Linked DNA regions of Ovis aries. The protein of the gene in region 1 purifies or fractionates together with the protein of each later gene. This does not show direct contact. Links are inferred from orthologs where the notes say so. Each region holds a gene or a part of one and is shown on either strand. Other genes may lie near its edges.

Evidence for each region. Proteins that work in one complex are often made in the same cells at the same time.
Region 2: the proteins of PHRF1 (region 1) and CSNK2A2 purify together in Homo sapiens (affinity purification with mass spectrometry; 3 studies listed by BioGRID and IntAct, counting the BioPlex papers as one, with this or other methods). This does not show direct contact. The link is inferred for Ovis aries from reciprocal best matches to the Homo sapiens genes PHRF1 and CSNK2A2.

The regions. Positions count from the first base shown.
Region 1 is NC_056074.1:47,078,954-47,082,877, reverse strand, and holds part of PHRF1 (PHD and RING finger domain-containing protein 1), read left to right. Parts: coding exon 1-2,095; intron 2,096-2,224; coding exon 2,225-2,445; intron 2,446-2,626; coding exon 2,627-2,896; intron 2,897-2,975; coding exon 2,976-3,104; intron 3,105-3,924.
Region 2 is NC_056067.1:25,611,480-25,614,717, reverse strand, and holds part of CSNK2A2 (casein kinase II subunit alpha'), read left to right. Parts: intron 1-783; exon of another isoform or gene 784-898; intron 899-1,270; coding exon 1,271-1,354; intron 1,355-2,159; coding exon 2,160-2,270; intron 2,271-2,532; coding exon 2,533-2,634; intron 2,635-3,238.

The DNA.
Region 1 (3,924 bases):
ACAGACATCTCCGAGCTCCCCAGGATACCAAAGATCAGGAGAGACGGCAGCCGGGGGGACGAGGGCCCCGCTAGCAGGCAGGGCGTCGAGCTCCCCAGCTCCTGCATCAGCCGGCTGACAGGCAGGGAGGGCCCCGGACAGCCGGGCTGCGGAGCCCGGGTAGAGGGTGAGCCCAGTCACCGGGGCGCGCAGGAGCCCAGCACACACTCGGCGGGGGGCCCCCAGCCCCCTGGCCCACTGGGGCCCGCCCGGGGGAAGGCTGTTGGCTCCACCTTTGAGAGTTTCAGGATCAACATTCCTGGGAACACAGCCCCTTCTGGCAGACTGCTCAGCCCTGGCTTCTGTAACACGTTCCGGCCGGTGGACAGCAAGGTGCAGAGGAGAGCGAGCCCCTCGCCCCTCTTCTCTGTCAGGAAGACGAAGCAGCTCAAGAGCGAGATCTATGACCCCTTCAACCCCACGGGCTCCGACTCCAGCTCCGCCAACAGCAGCCCTGAGCACCTGGGCCTCCTGCCCTCGGAGATCACGCGGACCATCTCTGTCGACAGCCCCAAGGCCCCAGCGCTGCCCCCCGTGCGCTGCGTCACCTCCTACACAGTGCAGACCGGCGCGGGGAAGGAGCTGGAGCCCCCCCAGGGGCCCTCCAGTCTGTCTGAGCTCCAGGACGAGGAGCCCTGCGCACAGGCACAGCGGCCGTCCCCACCGGAGCCCTGGGGCGATGAGGAGCTGCCTCCCCACAGCTCCTTCTTCGGCTCTGAGGGCCGGACAGTGACCTGCGTGACTGTGGTGGAGCCCGACACGCCGCCCAGCCCTGACGCCCCGCCTGCGACCACCCACAGGGTCGTGGAGCTGCGCTCCCCCTCCCGCTCCCGCTCCCGCTCCAGCTCCCGCAGCCGGAAGAAAGGCCCCCAGCCGAGGGTGGTCACCAGGGAGCAGCGGGCCGGCCGCTCAGGCTCCCGCTCATCCTGCTCAGGAGACCGGAGTTCCAGGTCTGCCTCGCCGCCAGCAGGCGAGGACCAGCACAAGAGACACCGGCCCAAGGCCCGGGGCCGCAGGTCATCCAGCGAGCGCTCCAGCAGCCGCGAGCGCGCCAAGCGGAAGAAGACGAAAGACAAGAGCAGGGAGCGGGGCAGAGGCTCCTGGGGCCACAGCCGGCGGAGGTCCCGCTCCCGCTCTGGGAGCTCATCCCACGAGCAGCGCGAGGGCCGCAGGAAGAAGAGGCGCCGGTCAGGGTCCAGGTCTCGGGGAAGGGAGTGCTCCCCGCCCAGGCACCCCAGGGAGAGGAGGGGGCGGCCGAGAGACCGGCGCGGCTCCCGCGAGAGGCGGCGGCGAAGGTCCAGGTCCGCCAGCCCGGAACACAGGCCCCGGGCGCACCGGCGGCCTCGGTCCCGGGAGAAGCGCCCGCGGCCACACCCCCACTCTCCTGAGCGGAAGTTGGCCCCGAAAGAGGCTTCTGCAGCACCCCCTCCCCAGGGGGAGCCCAGGCCAGACAGGGAGACCCCGGCCAGGTCCCCAGCTAGGCCCCCATCCTCAGCGGGAGCAGACGGCTTACCAGAAGGGCCCGCAGTTGACAAGGCCGCCCCAGTCCCGGAGGTGCTGGCCGAGTATCCAGCGGAGGATGTGGACTACGGCGACTCTGTGGAGGCGGGGCACCTCTTTGAGGACTTTTCCAGTGACACCATCTTCATGCAGATTGATGATATGAGCTCCCCGCCCTCCCCGGAGAGCACGGACTCCTCTCCGGAGCGTGACCTCCTGCCCAAGCCCACCGTGCCCCCAGCTGGCCCCCAGCACGACACCAGCCTGGCGGTGGCCGTCATCCGGAGGGAGGTGTCCCGGATCCACGGGGAAGACGTGGCTCAGCCCTCGCCTGGGGCCGAGGGCCCCCAGGAGAAGCGCCCGCTCCAGCAGGAAGCGGACGAGCCCACTGCAGTGCCCTGCGCCCTGGGAGCCCAGGCCCCAGGCGGGACGCCTGTGGGGAAGGAGGAAGGCCCCTCTCAGAACCCTCTGCTGCGAGCTAAGGCGCTGGTGAAGAGGGTCACTTGGAATCTCCAGGAGGCGGAGTGCGGGGCCCCGGCCGATGACAGAGGCCTGTGTGAGTAGGCGCTTTGGGGGGCGGGGAGTGATCCTCGGGTGACTCCCAGGCCGCCTTGGTCGTTGGGGGTGGGATGGCAGCACCTGCCCTGGGGTCCTTGCTCCGGGACGCTTTTCTGGAATTTTTTAGCCAGGAGGCAGTCTTGTGGCCTGGAGGGCCCCAGTACACCCACCCCCGTATGTTGGCCCCCAGGGACACCACTTCACAGGCCACAGAAGCCTCGGGAAGGAGTCTGGGAATCTGACGACGTGGGCCCCATGGCTGGGCTCCATCAGGCACCCTTCTCTGCGCTGCCTGCCCCTGCTTATGTGCTTCCAGAGCCTGGCTTCCCCCCAACTGACCCCTCTCAGGTGGGCCCCTGGGCTGGAGGGATGTGGCCTAGCACCCAGGCTACGCGGGCTGGGCTGGGCTGGGGCTGAGGCCTGCAGGCACCAGCCCTTTGCTGCCTGGGCTCTTCGGGTTCAGAAGTGGGGGTTGAGGGCACAGGGTAGTGAGTGTGTAGAGGCTGAGCAGGCTTGTGTTCTCGCCCAGGTACAGAGCCCCAGCCTGCCCCCCGGCCCAGCCCTGCCATCAGGCATCCCACCATATGCACCTATCAGCCAGCCCGCAGTCCAGTTCCTCCTCCAGGGGAGCCAGCCCCTCCCAGGCTGCGGGGCAGCCCAGAGCCTGGCCCCAGTGTCCACCATCCCGACTGCAGCCTCAGAGCCAGCCGGCCACGCTGCCGCCGCCACTGCTACCAACGACTCTGAGGAGAGGACGGCTCCTCCCAGGCCGGCCCCAGAGAAGGCCAAGAATGAGGAGGTGAGACCCTGCCCTTCCCCCAGGGGCAGGCGCGGGCCGGTAGTCCGGTGCTGAGCCTTCACGGTGTCCTCGCCCCCAGTACATGAAGAAGCTGCACGTGCAGGAGCGGGCCGTGGAGGAGGTGAAGCTGGCCATCAAGCCCTTTTACCAGAAGAGGGAGGTGACCAAGGACGAGTATAAGGACATCCTGCGCAAGGCGGTGCAGAAGGTGGGCGGGGGCTCAGAGCCCTGGGCGGGGGCGGGGGCGGGGCCTGAGGGCCCGGGGCGGGGCGGGGGGCGGGGCCTGAGGGCCCTGGGCGGGGCGGGGGCGGGGCCTGAGCCCTGGGTTGTGAGGTGGGCGGGGCCTGAGGGCCCTGGGCGGGGGCGGGGTCTGAGGGCCCTGGGCGGGGCGGGGCCTGAGGGCCCTGGGCGGGGCGGGGGCGGGGCCTGAGCCCTGGGTTGTGAGGTGGGCGGGGCCTGAGGGCCCTGGGCGGGGGCGGGGGGCGGGGCCTGAGGGCCCGGGGCGGGGGCGGGGCCTGAGCCCTGGGTTGTGAGGTGGGCGGGGCCTGAGGGCCCTGGGCGGGGGCGGGGGCGGGGGTCTGAGGGCCCTGGGCGGGGCGGGGCCTGAGCACCCTGGGCGGGGGCGGGGGCGGGGCCTGAGCCCTGGGTTGTGAGGTGAGCGGGGCCTGAGGGCCCTGGGCGGGGGCGGGGGCGGGGCCTGAGCACCCTGGGCGGGGGCGGGGGCGGGGCCTGAGCCCTGGGTTGTGAGGTGAGCGGGGCCTGAGGGCCCTGGGCGGGGGCGGGGGCGGGGTCTGAGGGCCCTGGGCGGGGCGGGGCCTGAGGGGCGGGGGGCGGGGCCTGAGCCCTGGGTTGTGAGGCGGGCGGGGCCTGAGCGCCCTGGGCGGGGCGGGGGCGGGGCCTGAGCCCTGGGTTGTGAGGTGAGCGGGGCCTGAGGGGCGGGGGCGGGGTCTGAGGGCCCTGGGCGGGGCGGGGGCGGGGCCTGAGCCCTGGGTTGTGAGGTGGGCGGGGCCTGAGCGCCCTGGGCTCCG
Region 2 (3,238 bases), on another chromosome or scaffold:
GACAGTGCAGTTACAGAAGATTTCTCTCCTTGCATAGATTATATGTTCTCACCTTTTCCACCATAGTTTGGTTTCACCTGTTCTTGACCTTCATGTGAAAAGCATCATATACTGTATATTCTTTTGTGTCTGGGAAATGCAAATTTGCATATTCCTAGAGCACTGGTTGTATGGGTCATATTCTGGCTCATATATTCCTAGTACAGTGCCCTTGCTATTCTAATCCCAGCGGTCCTCAATCAGGCTCACTTTGTCCCTCAGAACGTTTGGCAATGTCTGGAGCCATTTTTGGTTCTCACAATTGGAGGGATGCTGCTGGCATCTTGTGGGGAGAAGCCAGGGATTCAGCAAAGCAACATGGGTAAATCTTAGGAAAATTGTGCTGCATAGGAGAAGATAAAGTACTTACATTGTATCACTTCATTTTATGAAGATCCAGAAAAGGCAGACCTGTAGTACAGGTGGTAGAGCAGTGGTTGGGAGGAGAGGAGAGGAAAGGAGGCAGCAGATAGGATTGGAAGCTTAAGGGAGTTCTTGGGATGATGAAAAAATTCTAAAACTGGATTGTGGTCATGGTGGCACGACTTGAGGAATTTACTAAAAAACCATTGACTTGTACATTTAAAAAACTTAGCTCCATATCAGTGATCTTATAGGAAGCAATTTTCTCCCTTAGAGTCATAATCATAATTTGTGAAGCCCAACTGGCTCAAGGATTGTTTTTAAGGATAATACTAATATTAGAAGACATGTTAATCTAGAAAACTCATATGGGACACTTACCTGAAAGACGAGCCGTGTTGCAGATAAGATTGGGATGTCATTTTTCATGTCCATGTGGATCCTTCATGTGTTGTTTGAACTATTATGCGAAGTGACTCCAGTGTGGTTCCTCAGTCTGGTTTTAAACACATCAAATTAAGCCAGCATATGATTTCTAAATCCAGGTGGCTGGTCTGTTGCTACCAGCGCCAAGTAGGAGAGGAATGCCTGAATAAGTATTAATATACCATCCCCCTTTTAAAGAAACTTCTATAATAGCCCTTGGTGTCCTCTCCACAGCCCCCTTTCTACCAGCTGCCAGCATAGTGTGCCCAGGGAGCAAGGGGTGCCTCCTGAAGCATGTTTTTTCTCTTTTACTACAGACAGTAAGACTACCCTTTGGGAGATTGTGTTCAAATCAAGCTGTCACAATGAGCATATACTTGCACTGGGGGGCACGGGTGGTTGAGGGTTTGCTTACTTTTCTCTGTGCTTTCTCATCTAATAGGCTCTGGATTACTGCCACAGCAAGGGAATCATGCACAGGGATGTGAAACCTCACAATGTCATGATAGATCACCAGCAGAAAAAGGTACCATTACAGCCAGGCAGCAACAAGCCTTCATTGGAAGGCTCGACCCGAACTCTGGCCAGTACCTAGGTGGTTTCTATAGACCCATGCTGTTTCCTTTGGCAGACTTATGACACTGTTATTTCTCCAGATTCCAGTGTTGGTTTCTACTTCACATAAGTGTAGCACACAAGGAAAGTAGACAGCTGACCCTAACTGTAGTCGCTTGTCTGCTATGGTCATGGTTTTCCTAGAGGGCCTCAAAAAGAAACTACAGCTGGTGATTTTTACTTCCTTTCTTAATGACCCTCAGACCAATCTGCCTGGCCTTAAAAGTACACATGGGGCCCTCCTGTTTTTGAACCTCAGTTCTGATTGCCCCTGACTGGTGAGTAAATGAATCAACTAGTGTTAGATTAGTGAAGAGCTAGAGTAGTGCTTCAATCCTGGAGTGGGGCACATGTCCCCAACCCTTTCTGTTACGACTAGAGCTTGTAATGGAAACTGTTGAGTAATGAGGGATGTGTTAACACTTGCAGCTGGTTATGGGCACAGAAGACAAGCTTAAGCTTTATTGATCTAGAGAAGTGATAAGCCAGGATAATTTAAATGTTAAGGAAAAACAACTAAGATTCCAACCAAGTGCTCTGCTCTAGAAATGACCTCTTAGCAGTTCCCAGAAGGTACATGTGCCTTTTTAAAAGCCAGTGCAGTTGATAACATTTTTTATGTGGCCAAAGATTATCAAATGGGATGTGGCCTTGTTGTAAGACAGAGGCGTCTGGAGACACTCCCTTCACATGCTTTGCTTCTGTCATATTTATAGCTGCGACTGATAGACTGGGGTCTGGCAGAATTCTATCATCCCGCCCAGGAGTACAATGTCCGAGTGGCCTCCAGGTACTTCAAGGGACCAGAGCTCCTTGTGGACTACCAGGTAAAGCTGTTAATGAGGCATCACTGAGTTCTTCTTACATTTGCTTAGGGCTTTTCCTGGCTTTTTCTTTTTCCTGGTTTTTATTTATAGTCAGTTTGGTTACATTCAAAATCCAGTCTATATTCTACCCCAAAATGATAAAATGATAATGATGGATTTGTCTCAGCTACTTTTTTTGGTTTTGAATTTTAAAATAGCTATAGAAGATTAGAAACTCAGGTCAGAAAAATGACATTTGTAACCCCCTTCTTTATTTCCATAGATGTATGATTATAGCTTGGATATGTGGAGTTTGGGCTGTATGTTAGCAAGCATGATCTTTCGAAAGGAGCCCTTCTTTCATGGACAGGATAACTATGACCAGGTAAGCAAACACCCATCTGACTGCCATCCATTTTGGAGCAGATGCCAAGAAAATAGCATCCTGATAGGAATGCTGTTGTTGAGCCCCTAAATACCACTCAGTGTAAGCTTTTCTTCAGGGTAAAGAATTTCACAGAATCTTATCTATGGTCCCAAAGATAGAGACAGACAGTGCTGTGTTATGCCCAGCTTTCCAGCTGAGTCTATAAAAGAGCTAAGTACCTCCTTGTACAAGATTCTAGTCGTTCGGTTTTGTTGTTTGTTTGTTTTTAGGCTGTGCTGGGTCCTCATTTGCTGCACATGGCCTTTCTCTGATTGCAGAGAGCGGAGGCTACTCTGTCACTTTGGCGCGCGGGCTTCTCATTGTGGTGGCTTCTCTTGTTGCAGAGCACAGCTCTAGGGCTTCCGTAGTTGCAGTTCCTGGGCTCTAGAGCACAGGCTCAGTAGTTGTGGCTATGGGCTTAGTTGCTGCATGGCATGTGGGATACTCAGGGACCAGGGATCGAACCCACGTTCCTCGCACTGGCACGCAGATTCTCAACCACTGGACCACCAGAGAAGCCCATAGGTGTTAGGTTTTATGTCCCCATAATCACCAGCTTCTA